2 linked regions of the Pelodiscus sinensis genome follow. Each later gene encodes a partner of the first gene's protein in a complex. Links are inferred from orthologs where the notes say so. Each region holds a gene or a part of one and is shown in the gene's direction. Other genes may lie near its edges.

What was found. Proteins that work in one complex are often made in the same cells at the same time.
Region 2: the proteins of GIGYF1 (region 1) and TNRC6C are in contact, whole or in part, in a crystal structure (PDB 7RUQ), measured with the Homo sapiens proteins. The link is inferred for Pelodiscus sinensis from reciprocal best matches to the Homo sapiens genes GIGYF1 and TNRC6C. Residues at the interface, in NP_001362694.1 of Homo sapiens: Tyr479, Asp481, Pro482, Gln487, Phe490, Trp498, Tyr503, Phe504, Leu508; in NP_001136112.2 of Homo sapiens: Arg1719, Pro1720, Pro1721, Pro1722, Gly1723, Leu1724, Thr1725.

The regions. Positions count from the first base shown.
Region 1 is NC_134734.1:8,963,768-8,971,181, forward strand, and holds the start of GIGYF1 (GRB10-interacting GYF protein 1), read left to right. Parts: upstream 1-4,395; 5' UTR 4,396-4,542; intron 4,543-7,414. Other genes in the region: chloride channel protein ClC-Kb-like, read left to right, coding at 1,956-2,042, 2,318-2,425. UniProt on the Homo sapiens protein: May act cooperatively with GRB10 to regulate tyrosine kinase receptor signaling. May increase IGF1 receptor phosphorylation under IGF1 stimulation as well as phosphorylation of IRS1 and SHC1.
Region 2 is NC_134730.1:7,745,492-7,753,313, forward strand, and holds the start of TNRC6C (trinucleotide repeat-containing gene 6C protein), read left to right. Parts: upstream 1-4,816; 5' UTR 4,817-5,799; exon of another isoform or gene 5,800-5,969; 5' UTR 5,970-6,020; intron 6,021-7,822. UniProt on the Homo sapiens protein: Plays a role in RNA-mediated gene silencing by micro-RNAs (miRNAs). Required for miRNA-dependent translational repression of complementary mRNAs by argonaute family proteins.

The DNA.
Region 1 (7,414 bases):
ATATGCAATCAGGATGGGAAGATGCGATCTTCCAGAACTCTACCACATAGCAAAGATCTGGCCTTAATGCAATACAATTTTTCATGTATTAATTAGCAACACAGGATTTAAAAAAATAATTAAATTCAGAGTTTTAGATATATGCAACACTTATAAAATATTTTAATAGATTTTTTTATTCTTACCTTAAGCCATTAACACCTAGGTAAACTTTGTTTGAAATGTACTCATGCGGCTGCATCTAGACTGGCAAGTTTTTCCGCAAAAGCACTTGCTTTTGCGCAAAAACTTGCCAGCTGTCTACACTGGCTGCTTGATTTTGCGCAAAAGCACTGATGTTCTACTGTCCGAAATCAGTGCTTCTTGCGCAAATGCTTTGACGTTCCCGTTCGGGCAAAAGCCCTTTTCCAGAAATGTTTTTGTGCAAGAGGGCCAGTGTAGACAGCTAAAAACTGTTTTGCACAAAAAAGCCCCTATGGCGAAAATGGCGATCGGGGCTTTCTTGTGCAAAACCACATATAGATTGGCATGGACGCTTTTCCACAAAAAGTGCTTTTGCGGAAAAGCGTCCGTGCCAATCTAGACGCTCTTTTCCGCAAATGCTTTTAACGGAAAAACGTTTCCGTTAATAGCATTTGTGGAAAATCATGCCAGTCTAGACATAGCCATGCAAGTATTCTGGTACAAACACTCATCTTATGCAGCCAGCCCCATATCTCCTTTCTCAGGAGGCTTGAGAGTGCTGAGTTCCTGCCTTTCTCTCCTGGGGCGGATTGGACTCTCCAAACTTTCCTCTGCTCTGACTCCACTTCAGCCAATTACCCACCCACCCACCCACTCACTCACTCCCCCCCCCCAGTCACTTATTGTCTCCTTATCTCACTTTTTATTACCTGCTCTGGGAGCTGCTCCATTTCAAGCATGGAACAGCCCAGTTTAACTGTTTGCTCAGCAAGATGACATATTTCCCCTGCCGGTCAGCTGAGCTTCTTGCCTGCATGAGAGCTTTAAACTTCTGAGCAGAGCTCAGAAAACAGCTATGCCATCATGCAGCCATGCAGCTTACTGGAAACTTAGGTGGGAGGGGTTGTGCATTTGCATATGCAAATGAGCACTGTCTGCACATTTGAGTTGCTTGCTCATTTGCATATGAACAGTATAAGTGGAGACTTATTTGCATACTCAATAAGCAATACTCATTTGCATGTCATTTTGGTCCTCTCCCCCCTGCCCCCCTCCCCATCACTGAGGTACAGGGAGCCACTGGGCCCTGAATCCCCATCCGCAGCCAGACATGACTCTCCGCCAGCAGGTAGAACAGATAATGTATTAGTTCACAGGGACACATTGTAAAACAGACTTGTTACCCCAGGAACCAGAAGCAGCCAATACAATTTGTCTTAGGGAGAGGGAGGCCCAGAGCCAGGGCCCTGGGTCCCCTCCCTGTCTCTTAAGCCAGCAGAGACTAATTCACACACTTAGCTACTGGTCCCTGCCTTACTGGCAGTCCCACTTCCTCCTTTGTCCAGCTTCTCAGGCAAAAGGTGTCCCTTGTTTTCACCTCATGTTCCAGGGACTCTTGGCCATTGTGAATGTGCTTGCCTGGGCAGCCTGGGGCAGCCTCCCCTCAGTGAGAGTCACACCCAAAATTCCCATCTCCATCGGGGCACTGGTGCAGTGCCTAGAGAAACTGAAGCATGCACACACAGAGTTACTACAGAACAGTACAGGACAATGGAAATCACATGCAACATAACAAAGTGAACAGAGCGAATAGAATCCCCACATTGTCACCCCCTGATAATGTGCCACCTGCTGCCAAGAGCCCCCCCCCCCCCCAGCCCCACTGTCCTGCAGTCTCAGTGAGGGCTGATCCCTAACCCTACCCTATTTTGATCCATCCTCCCCTCCTCAGTTTGTCTCCTGACATGCACACACCCATTTCTGCTCCACAGTGTTATGACCTCTTTAACCTGCTGGGACTGCGGACAGCATACGTCACCAACATGGGCCAGCTGGTTGGTGTGGTCAGCCTCCGAGAGGTAGGGCTGAAGGGTGGGAGGCACAGGGGGGCATGGGGTGGGGAGCACAGGGCTGTTGCATGGATCCTGGAGAGGTCAGGGAGCTCATGAGGAACATAGGGGGCAGGTTGCAGGGTCTACTGGGTCAGGGAGAGTCTTTGGGGTTCAAGAAATTCAAGGAAGGAGCCGGGGCAGCAGGTGGGGGTTATGGGAAATGAGGGGGTTCAGGGATTTGGGGGCTGAGAGGTGATGGTGTGGGGTGTGTCCCTGACGTGCTGCCTCTGTCCCCCAACCAGCTCAAAGCCGCTGTGGAGGGATCAGTCAAGGGCACTTTCGCCAAGCGCCAGCCCCATGATGAGGGGCAAGTCGAAGGAGACCCCGATCCCAATGGATCCTCAGCCTAGCAGGGACTGGAACATGCGGCCTACTCCTGATTCCACATTCCTCTGGAGCCCATGGGGGACAGGGCAGGGGGAGCTACCACTTAGCCCCTCTCTGTTTCTCTTGCACTCCAGCTACAATAGCCCTGGCCATTCCAGCAACCCCTAAATTATTAAACCTCCATTTTCTGCCCTCACTGAATAATGTGAGTAACTTTTGGCAGCTCCACTCAAAATCACCCAGTAAAGATCCAGTTACATTTTTTGTCGGTGTTTATTATTCCTCCTTTCTACATCTTTCTAGGGGGCTGGACGGTTAGAGCTGTGGGCTTGGGAGCCAGGACTCCTGGGTTTTCTGTCCAGCTCTGAGTGGGGAGTGGAGGCTGGTGGGTAGAACAGGGAGGCAGACTCCTGGGTTCTCTCTCCTGAATGTGGAGATGTGATGTAACAAGCTAGTTGATTCTGCAAGCAGGCAAAGAGACTCCAGCCACAGTCATGATGGTCATCGTGGTGCCTGGATGTGAGATGATGCCATCATGTTCCTACACAATGACAACATGGTCTTGTGTTGTCACAGGTGCACTGTGGGATGATGTTTTTCCGTTGATGATATCGTAGGGTAGATGTAACCTCTCAGCATTGTGTTTGACATCAGGGCCTTCTGCTGTTGATATGCTGGAAGCTGTGTTTGGTCACTGGACACCCCAGTGACTTTGTGGCTGCATTTGGTGACATCATAGTCTCACATTGCAGCATAATGCCACAATATCATCATGCACCATCAGGAGTTGCCAGGAGGAGTATGTGGGGCTATGGTAGACTGAGGAATAACTCAGTGTCCTGAGATAGTGACCTAGGCAGCGGGGCCAGGTGGTGGCACTTTTTACTGATAGGGTTGCCAGGTGTCCGGTATTGACACGGACCGTCCGGTATTTTCACCTCCTGTCCAGTAAAAAAATTCAGAAAATACCAGACACCTAAAATGTCTGGTATTTTCTGATTTTTTTTTCCCGGACAGAAGGCGAAAATCCCAGGTGCTTACCAGGTTCCGCAGGGGAGCTGTCCGGCCCGGAGCAGGAAGACAAGATGGTGGGTGGCCGCCAGCAGCCTATTAGGGCCAAAAAGCCTCAAAAGAATTTCTTAAAGGGGTCACACTTTTTTTTTAATTAAAAAAAAATTTTTTTGCTCAACAACTTTGGTCTCCCCCTTTTTTTTCTCAATAGAATTTTTCCCTGGTGTTTTATTTTTTTGGGGGGGGGTGTTCAGTATTTTTTGTTAAGCCATCTGGTAACCCTATTTACTGAGGCAGCGTGACACAATGGCAGCTGCTGAGATAGTGACAACACAGGGCTGGGGTTGACATCGCAAGGTGACACAAGGACATCACACTGCCTTCTGGAGACGTTATCTGGTGAAGCAATGACATGGTGCAGATGAGATCACAGGGCAGGACAGTGACAGCAGAAAGCCATGTGATGACATCACGTGAGATTGATGATGTCATAGGGCTCGTAGTGACATCACATGGACACAGTGTGTGACAATTGCACCACAGGTCTTGGTGGTAAAGCCGACTGGTGACCTCACAGTTCGGGAGAGTGGTGACGTCACCGTCTTCTAAGGAGGGGGTCCATCGTTTTGTGAAGGGATCGTCACGTGACCCGAACGCGTGACCTGGGTAGTACGTCGGGCCAAGGCCGTCGTCCGTCACGTGACGCTGTGGCGCGGGGGCTGCTTTAGCCTCCCTGCGCAGGACTATGGTGGCGCCGGGAGGGGGTGGGGAAGGAGAGATACGCGCGCGGCCATAGCGAAGCGCGGGGTCACGCGAGCCGGGCGGCAATTTGGCTTCTCCCCTGTCATGTGGCTCCCGCGCTTCCCCCTCCTCTGCGGGCTCCACCCCATCACGTGACACCCTCCTCCTGCGGCCGAGCTCCTGTGTCACGTGGGCCCTTGAGCTCCCCCTCCGCGTTCCCTCGTCACGTGACGGGGCTCCGTGCCGCCATCTTGGTACAAACACAAACAAGCGGCGATAGGCGGCGGCGGCGGCGAGAGACCCGGAGTCCCCCCCCCGCCTTCCTGCCGCGCGCGCGGCTAGGCCCCGCCCCCTCCGCGCCAGGCCCCGCCCCCCGCTGGGCGCCGCGGTGAGACACGGGGCCCTTCCTTACCCGGCCCGTCGCTATGGAGATACCGTGGGGAGGGGGCCCTAGAAATCCCGGGCCGGGCCCCGCGGAGGGGTTGGGGCGGCCCCTCCTCGACATGCCCGCAAAGCCCTGGGAGGCGGACAGTGGGGTGCCATCGGGAGGGCAGGGAAGGGGGAACCCTTGGGGGAATCGGCTGAGGGGTGTTTGGTGCCAGCCCTCGGGTGTGGGGGTGCTGTCCCGGCTCACCCCCCTCCTACGCAAATGTTCCTGGAAGTGGAGTGCTAGGGGTGGGGCTGCCTCCTTGCGGATGCTGTGCAGACCCCTGCCTGCCCCCTTCCCTCAAGGATGCGCCTCTGCCCCCCAAGTGCTGTGCATTGGTTCCCCTCTGCCCAGGGATGTGCATTGATCTTCTGGGTTGGTCCCCTTTCCTGACTGTGGCTGTAGAATTGGCCCAGACATTGCTGTGTCAAACTTTTCTTGTTACCCCACTTTCCCATTCCAGGGCTGGTGGACAAATTGGGGGGAGGGACTCGTTGTGGGGGGCCTCAGAAGCCCCCTTGTTTCTTGTTGTTCAGGCTCCCTTTCCCAGGCTGTGTGTGTGGGGTATTTCTCTAGCTACCTTCCATTGCAGGGACGTGTGTCGTGGGTGCTGGTTGTCTTGCTGCCCTTCTGCACAACTGGCAGTCTAGCCAGCCTCTGCCTTTTTGCCTAGATATGTGTTGGCTCCTTGCTCTTGCATGAATTTCTAGGTCTCACCTATAGTTGCAGGGATTTACTGAAAGAATTGAGATGCCAATGGAATTGAAAAGCCCCAAGCCTGTTACATCAAACATCACGTCCCCTGTTTTGCTGGGTGTCGCACTGAGATTGTGGTCCCTGGTTGTGCCACATGTTGCATAGGCACACCCCCACCCACCCAGATGAGATCAGGGGTCGGCCCCTGTTGTGCTAGGCACTGATGTGGCTGTTGTCTGAGGGAATGAAAGACACTTTTAGCTGGCAAAGGAGTTTACGTATGAACAAGTTGTTCTTGGGAAGACCAACTGGGGGAACGGTCTTGTTGGAAATAAGGTGTTCGTTTTTGACATGGTGGGTAATGACTCATTGGGACAACATACTAAGGTTTTGGAGTGTACTCTCCAGGCTGTATTCCTGAAAACCCTGCTTTGGGTCTGCCTTCAGAGAGTCAGAGTAGATATTCACAATGGTCCCTTGGGGTCTCTGCCCACCACTCAAGTGTCTGCTCTATTCTGCACTGGGGCTAGGTACCCAAGCGAGTTTGTAGATGCTCAGGGCAGCAGGAAACTTTCTGAGCTATACAACACTGGCATGGCTGACTTTCAGAAAAATGAGTTGCGGGTGTAAAGCATGAAAACAAATGTGGCGCTGCATAAAATATCTTGGCATAAGAGTAGGTGCAGAATTCATTGGCTGTATTATAACAATAACAGGGATTTGGGGGAGCCCTGTATTACAGCTGTGCTGCATAGCCTCCTCCTGCCAACTGAGCTCAAGGGGCCCCCCAGTTGTGCCAGGTGGTGCACAGGCCCCTGCTGGGTGAGCTCAGGGGCTGCCCTTTGTGCAGGGGGCTCCTCGCATGCAAGGAACCCTGTATAGCTTGGCCTAACGTTGTGAGGGCAAACTGAAGCACAGTGAAGGGAAAGCAATCAGATGGTGGCGGAGCTGGGGAGAGAACCCTGGCATACCAGTGCAGTGGTGTTGCTTCCTCTGGGACAAGTGCTATACAAACCTGTGCTGGAAGAGCTTACAGGCTGCTCCCCATTGGTCATCCTGAGGTCCAGATGAAGTCCTGGCTAGTATGAGAGCCTGTGTGCGCTCCGCCTCTGCTTTGCTGCCATCTGTCACATTACTCACTACTAGGAATGCTTGGTCAAAGGGGTGTAACCACTAGACCCCAATGGGGCACCTGAAAACTGCCAGCTTGATAGAGTGACTGTGGTTTACTAAGTCTGTTCCCTCAATACAGCTTGGGAGACATGGTCACCAGGGCTCTGCTGCAGGGCTGGGCTTAGACCTGGGATCTTGGTCTCCCAGCTTTAGATGCTGCATTTCAGTGTTGTCATCTCGCTGCCCTGAGAGGCAGAAATGCAATTTTAAAATCTGCATTGGGGCTGGGTTTGGAGTAATCCAAGAGACCATGAAAAGGTGACTTGATCCTGGTCTCTATTGTGGGGAGAGAGCTCTCTGAGGGTGACTCAGTGCTGGGGAGCTGCAGTGAGATTAATTCACACTAGAAACAAGTCACAGCTTTGGACCAGGGAGGGAAATTAACTAGGGATATAATCGAGGAGTTGAGTATTCGACTACCTGATAAGGCTGTGCTTATTAGGTAGTCAAGTCAATTACTCAACTACTCATTTCCCCCACTCCTTGATGCTTCTGTCAGAGGCAGCAGGAGGGGGGTGGTGTAGGGGAGGCTGCTGTGGGCTGAGACTGGTCTGGCAGCAGTCCCTGTCCTCTGGGGTCCCAGTGGAGAGCTGGGTCCCTGTTCCCTCGCAGACAGGGGCTGGTGCTGCAAAGCAGTCCCTGTTCGCAGTGGCTCAGGCTGGCCATGGGCAGAGGCTTCTCCAGCAGCAGTCCCAACTGCCTCGAACAGGGGCTGCTACTGGGCTGACATTGCATCGACTACACAATTAGCCAAATAACTGCTCTTCAACATTCTTAAAATTAACCTATTGCAGCAACTGACCCATTGCAGCAACTGATGAGTGGGTTCTCCCGCTCCTGGAGTTTGAATCGGGTTTGGGGAGTGTCTTTCTAAATGATATGCTCCGTATCAAGCAGAAATTTGGGCTTGATACAGGAAACCTGGGACAGTCAGTTCTCCGATTTGTGCTATGTGAACAGTCAG
Region 2 (7,822 bases), on another chromosome or scaffold:
ACAAATGAGCAAACTCTTCCAAATATATAGTGATAGTGGCCATTTTAATTCAGCAAAAATTATTAATAGAATGGCAGTAAGAGTTTTTTAAAAAGTATTCTGCTTATTTACCACCTACTGCTCTCTTGAATGTATATTTGAAGGTAGCTGGCTACCAATTCAAATTATATTCAAAATGGGAAGAATAACAAACCAGAGAGGCTTCTGAAAGCCAGTGAGATCCTAGACACTCTTAAAGGTCCAATTTTACAAATCGTTTTAAGAAAGTAAGGGTATGTCTACACTACCCTCCTAGTTCGAACTAGGAGGGTAATGTAGGCATACCGCACTTGCAAATGAAGCCCGGGATTTGAATTTCCCGGGCTTCATTTGCATAAGCGGGGAGCCGCCATTTTTAAAACCCCGCTGGTTCGAACCCCGTGCAGCGCGGCTACACGGGGCACGAACTAGGTAGTTCCTTAATGTTACTGTAAGATTTGGTCTCTGGCTTAACTGGGAGCAGCAAACTGTATAGCAGAGAGTAGGTCTTAGCCCCTACAACACTTAAAAATATTGGCAACTTCTTCTCTTCGTTAATGTCATTTGCAAAAAGTTAAAAATGCTCAGTATATACCTGCCATTGCTCTATAGTTTCCTGAAAAGGTCCCAGTGGCCCTGTAAGTGTAGCCATGGCTGTTGCAACTTTTTTCTTTTTCTCTTTTACATCCTGTGCACCCTTCTGCACCCAGCCTTCATCCTAGACCCCACTCATCCTCCACACAAAAGTGCAGCCCTTGACCATTTTCCAAAATCTTAAAGTGGCTCCCTACCAAAAATTATTGCCCACCCTTGGTTTACACAGATTACATCTCACTGCAAATTCAGTCTCATCTATAGGAATGCCTTTATGTTCCAGCACTGAAACATGAGCATCATATGACCCCCATTCTCTTCAAACTGGATCACATCCGTTCTTCCTCATGTGACACAAAGAGAATACTCGAACAGTGGCGGGAAAGGATAAAACAGGGTCTGTCTAAAACATAAGAGCTACATTTCAATAGATGCCTTGGAAATTGATGAAGGCCATTCAGGGTTTGTCACAAAAGATAATACATATTGGTCCTCAATATGAAGGAAATTTATGTCGTGAAAGATAATTCTATGAAGCTTTCTACGAAGCTCAAAACACTTGCCAACCAAAATGAAAACATGCCTGAAAGGTGAAACACTGACAAGTCTACAGACCATATAACATCTTTTTCATCTAGGGCAAAGAAAATACTAGGTAGTTTTAGATAATTAATCTTGGTACATGTTAAACTTCCTTAATTGTGCTCAGCATAGAAATAAAATGCACAGAAATTAAAAAGTATATTGGCTGTCTCTTAGACACAGGCAGCCTGGGAAACATTCAGTACTCCAGGTTGTGACAATTATGATCAGTGAGCCAGAAAATACTTGTTAACACAGTGAGACATACTGAAGAAATGTTTGTTTGGGTGAGATGTTGTGGTGGTGTCCTCCATTTCTGGATGAAAATATACTCTGAACATTTTTGGCTGAGTCATCCTATCATCTTGCTAATGAAGCAGGAATTTAAATATCCTGTGCTTCATTAGCATAAACATGGCTGCTGCTTTTTTTCTAAATGGATTTTAGATCTGTCAAAATAAACCCTTTTTCGAAAGATCCTGTATTTCTCAAAAAATGAGGTTTACAGGATCTTTCGAAAAAGGGTTTATTTTTCAACAGATCCGCTTCTAGTCTGCCATTTTTTCAAAAAAGGTCCATTTAGAAAAAAAGCAGTGGCCATGTTTATGCTAATGAAGCACAGGATATTTAAATCCCTGTTTCATTAGCAATTTCAATGTGCTTGATTTGCATCCCTCTGCCAACAGAGGGATGCAGTCTAGACATAGCCTAAAAGTTGGGCAGTGTAGTTGCTGTTGTCAGTTTTTTTGCTGTCAAAATACTTCTGCCTCCAATGAGCAGTATTTGTTCTCCTGCTGACAATATGCCATTCATCGTGGCACTTGTCATGACAAAACTTTTGTCTTTCAGGCTACGTTTACAGTTTACCTCCGGTATCCCGGAATAGCTATTCTGCGTCTTAAGAGCAAGCCTGTTGTATTGAAATATAACAAGCTCACTATTCCGATGTCTCTGTAAACCTCATTGCATGAGGGTAAAGGAACATTTCAGAATAGCGCTTTATTTCGAGGTAAGGGTGATGTATGGACACACCCTCAGTGGGTTTTTTTTTATACCTCTGAATGATAAAAGTTTGTCTTTCAGTTGTCAGTGTAGACATAGCCTTACTGACCTACCACAGTCCAAACATTGAAAATTTCCTGGAAATAGGAACTGCTTATCCAGTTTTAAAATCAGATGTATTATAACCTTTACCCACATGTGTAAATTGCTTGGAGGGCTCCTTTGTGTGTCAGTTTTATATATCAACTTTCAGATAGATTATGCCAAGTCAATGGGGTTCTTAAACCTGCGAAACACCTCTGCCTGACTTCCAAGAGTGCGCAACCATGATGAGTGGTGGCTGACCCAGGAGAAACCAAAGCAGGGAAAATATTTTTGGATTGAAAAAATCTTTGTATTTAATGATAGAAAACTACAGGTAGTTGAAATAATTGCAAATGCATTTTTATCATAACAAATAGCATCTTTAAAATATGGACATTTTGTGTAAAAATCAAATTTACTTTTCATTATTGGTTCTGTGTAGGGGGTATGTGTATTTTAGATAATCCTTTTTGCATTTATTTTAGCTTGGTCAAGACTGAAGAAAGTACATTTGTTAGTTTCACTTTTGTTTTTAGTCACTGTCTAGTCAAGTTTCAATTTCAGGATCTCATGATCTTTGTCTCTTGCTTTAGTGTTTGTGTTGAAAACAAATGCATGGGAATATTTACTTCTTAAAAAGATACTTTGAATTTTAAAAATCAAGGGAAATACTTATGATCTTAGATTTTACAATAGGCTTTGTAAACTAAGTTTAGGGACAAATTTGACCTAGCAAGTAACCTTTTAATATAGTTAAAACAAATTTTTCAGTAGAGGACAACTCTATATATACAGAAATTAATTTGTGACATGATGTTGTTATTATTATAAACTTTACTTAGATAAAGGTACATGTCTGTTTTGTTTGCACTGTATTGAGGAGTTGTCTTATGTTGAACAAAATCCACTCTGAAAATAACAGCTTGGCAATTTCCTTACTTGCTTTTGATGAGTCGTTGGGGGACAACAGTTTGCAGGTGTTGACCTACATTTGTGTAACTGAAAAGTTAAGGAAAGTGCCTCTGAATTATCTACTCAGCTACACTAGTACAAACTACTTGCCTTTGAAATGTAAATAGCTTAGACCTAGATGTGTAAGAGCAGCAATACTGTAGTCAAGTGTCTGTCAGCATCACATTACTTCAGAAAAAAAATGTGAATTTAAAGTCCTGGTGAAAGGTATAGACTGACATTCCAAATGCAGGGAAATTGTTCTTAATCGTTTTGCTTTCTGGTGCTTATGAAGCAAAATGGTACACATAAATCTAATTTTTATAACATTTTGCATACATATAGATATTGTCCTGGCCTAGAGAACACACTTTGTTCTAACTATAATGATCTGATATTTTATGTTTTATTATTTTTTATCTTTGAAGTTCTGTTTCTGTTGCATTCTGGAAAAATATGGGCTCCCTCCAGTGGCCAAAGTAACACCTGTGCTCTAATTAGTGTTACCCAAAGACAGTTTTTCTGCCTGCTTGTTAAGGTATTGTCTTTGTATTAGAAGTACTAAATTCAGACTCGTTTAAAATTGTATTTTTATTTAAAACAATGTTTTTATTTGACGCATACCAGTAATTTTTTCAACCTATAAGGTCTCATCACTTCAAGCTATTCCTTATTGATTTAAGATAAATTGATATAAGGCACTTAAACCAATTTGATAAGAGTCCTCACTTGAGGGTTGTATTATTTTAACTAAATCAGTTTTAGGTACACATGTTGTGTGTAGTCAAGAAATGTTTTTTATCAAAGGTAGTTTGCTGAATATTGACCTCACTGATTTGCGCCTGCAGGAAGTTAAAGGCAGGAGTGATCAGATTTGTACCCACAATTCAGGTGCAGGTACAATTTATATTCACAAAAAACTTAGAAATCGGTCCTGGCCCTGCAGTACTTTCTCAGTCAAAACTGCAGTTTAACCGATCCGAGTTTTGCCCGAGTAAGACACACTCAGGTCCATCTGCCGTAAAGCAAACATCGAATCAAAATAGGTATTGGCCCTGGTACAGTTTGCGCTGCCACTGGGGGGCTGCGTGGGCAGCCCGGCCACACGTTTTCTATTGACGATTTTCTTTCCAGCCTTGTTCACTGCACTGGTGTTCGGTGTGGATAGCGGTTGGACTCGTGCCAGCTGCACCGGTGCATTTTGCAGGGAGCATCTAGCTGGGCAATTTTCGCTTCGCTTCCAGGCACTGATGTGCAAAGCGTCAGGCTCTGCACGGCGCAGTGGGCTCTGGAAGGAGCGCGCGCGTTAGGTCGGTGCCGCATTCGAAGCCCCCTCCGCGCGGGCGCATCTGGCACGTGCAGTGCGAGAGGTGCCCAGGTGCGCGGGCGAGAGCCGCGAGCCTTCCCGCGCAGAGCGGACTGGCCAAGATGGACGCGCCCGGCCCGTGCGAGAGGCGGGGGAAGACCGGGCCCACTCGCGCGCTAGGAGGAGAGCAACCAGACACTGAGTCGCGGCGCTGATTGGCTCTGCCACCCAATTGATTTGCATGCCGCAGTTTGTCTTCCCCCGTCACGTGATCAGAGGGGGGTAACGCCGAGGCTTCCTGTTTGAGGTCAGAGAGGGGAGGGGGGGGCCTCTCTTTGCTCTCGCGCTGCCTGGTGGGGTTCTTGTCAGTTAGCAACAAAATGGCCGCGGTGGCAGCAGCTCTGCTCCTGAGGACGGCGACGGCGGCGGCTGCAGCTAGGAAGAGCGGGGGGCCGGCGCCGCCTGCCTGCTAGAGAGAACGCGCGCGAGACGCTGCAGCCCAGCTCCTCCGCCGCAGAGAGACACTGCCTGAGAGGCGCTGCAGCAGCCCCTGGGAGACTTTGCTGCCTCCTTCAGCCTCCTGCCCCCCCCGGGGCGCGAGACTCCTGGGAACCCCCTGTGCCCCACTGAGAGTCTCTGCGGCAGAGCCCGCTGGATCGTCCCTCTCCTCGGGATTCTACGTGAGACGCTCTGCTGGCCCCATTGGATCCCCCTGTGAGAGAGACACTGCTGGATCCTCCTGCTTGGAGCACCGCAAGAGAGACTGCTGGATCTCTTTCTCTACCCCCGCCCCCCATTGTAGGACCCCTTGCGAGAGAGACTTCATTGGATCCTCCTCCTCACTGGGTTCCTACTCTTGGATCCCCGGCTGTGGCTCCATTTTTGGAGGGGGGACTCTTTCAGCTCGTTTGTGGGATCCCCCTTTTCCTTTTAATTTGCACTTTTTGAACACTCAGATGCTCCTCCATCTGGACTGAGAATCCATCAACACAAAAAATAAACTCTCCCCATCCGCTTCACATCGTGAATTTCGTGGGTTTTTGTTGTTGCTCGAAAGCAAACGTGTATTTAAAAAAGAATTCGTGTGCAAAAGTCTAGCTAGGGACATTCTTTTCCTTCCTTTCTTTCTCCACTGGAAAGCTAAAGCTTGTTTTGGAATTGAACCTGTTTCTCCTGCACTGGGACTGGATAACACCGAACCTCTGCTCTTCTGCTTGGATACTGTTTTCTTGTCGACTTGTTTTTCTTCTCTTCTGTGGCAGGTTGTGGGGGGAGTTGTTTTTTTGTTTTAGTTGGAGGGGGGAATTGAATTTTTTTTTTCGTATTCAGAGTCGTGAATTTACGGGTATTTTTTTAAGGCGTTAAAATAAGCAAGAAGCACGTCAGAGAGACCTCTACAAGGTAGACGAAATATTCACTTGTTTCATTACAGAGAGACTGAGTCGAAAGCTGCCAAAGAGCCCCTGAAGGAAAAGAAGAAACGGTAAGGGGGTGATTGTTTTATATTGATCTGCAAACAGTAGAAGTGGGAGCTGAAAAATACCTGTTCAGTCATTGCGTTAGTACATGTCACACTTTCCCCTCTGGAGTGGAGGGCAGGATTTTTCAAAAAACAGTTATAGTGTTTTTAAATAGTACTTATATTTTTCTTTTATTATGGGGCCACTGGAACAAATACTGTAAGGTACTTCCACACAAACTATTCTAAGTTATTTTAAGATATATTTTAACACTAAATTATATTTGTTGAAAAATAGACCTTTATAAATAAAAACTTGGTATTTCCATATACTGACTCTTTTTTTTACACATGCCTAATTTTTGTCACCTGTATTACTTTAATTGAAGTCTCATATATAGAAGTTAAACATTTCTAGGTTTACAGGAAGAGCCTTATGAGTTTGCTTTTTAATAATTGATAATGTACCTGTGAGTTGATGTGTGGTGTTTGTACACTAATATAAAATAATTAGCTCTATTATAAAGCGAGGTCACCAGGACTGCTTTTGATCATAACCAGGTCGGTGAAACTTGAACGTCATACTTGATCAGCTTCAGTTAAATGGCAAGAGCTCTTTAGATCCCTGTCTTTTCAATACAATTAAATTATGGTAACCATCATAATTTAGTCTCTGAATACTAGATATGTGAGCTTATTTTTTCATATTTTCATGAAGCCAAATTATTCTTATTAGCTTCAGTAAGAGCATCAGTCAGGAACAAAAACAGTGGTGTTATGGTTGAGTGTTCAGTTGTTTATCCTTGGATATCAAGAGACAGTGGGAATGTATTAAAGGTATTTGAATCCTCTTTGTTTAATTTTGCAAGTTTGTGTGGAAGGGTAATCTCCTCCCTTATTCTGTAATTGCACGTTAGTAGAAGGTCCAGTCATGAGACCCATTGAAATATACAAATGAGAATATGAACTAGTTTATGCCTCATAAAATAATTTAATATAGTTTTGTTGTCTTAAATTATATATTTTTAATTTCAGTATTTAGTTTCTTTAGGAGTGCCATTATCTAGCTAAGTGATACTTTGATGTGGTTCTAGGATTAACTTTATTCTCTGCTTCAATATAGACTTGTTTTTGTTGTCGAAAATATTGCACTGCATATATTCAGTTTATATAATTTCCAACTTTGATTTGTGTTCTTGAAGACAGCATGGCCATTTTTGCTTATAAACAAATTGAGGAAATATTTTTTCCTTGTATCTTAAACTAATTTGATTTTATATTCAGTGGAATCCAGACTGAAACTTAATTTCACCATTGGACTAATTAAGCTAGTTAAAACTCAATAATTGCTGCTAATAGTGGTTTAGTTGGTTCTATATCTTAAAATAAGATGACTATTGGTGTACTAAGAATAATGAACAAGACAGCATCTGTTATTGGATACAGTTATTCAAATGACCGACTTTAAAATCCTTAACATTAAATATTTCCTTGTTATGAGGTCAGTCAGAGATAACCTTTGGTTTTTGGTTGCTGTTGTACATCATACTGGATTGTTTAAGAAATCACTGGGGTGATAAATTTTTTCTGTATCTGTTGCTTTTCTCAGAAATGTGTGAGGGGTGCTAGGTGGGATAGTAATGGATACAACTTGTCATAATTTCTCAAATTCCCAATTTTTTCCCCTTGCCCAATAATTGTGATTTTTAAAATCTAATAAGCCTCCATTTGAACAACCACTTTCATCCATGAATTGTGATTTCAAAATGGTGTGCTGACAAGTATTACTGAAAGTTGCTCATCAAGTAATATTACTTTGTCATCTC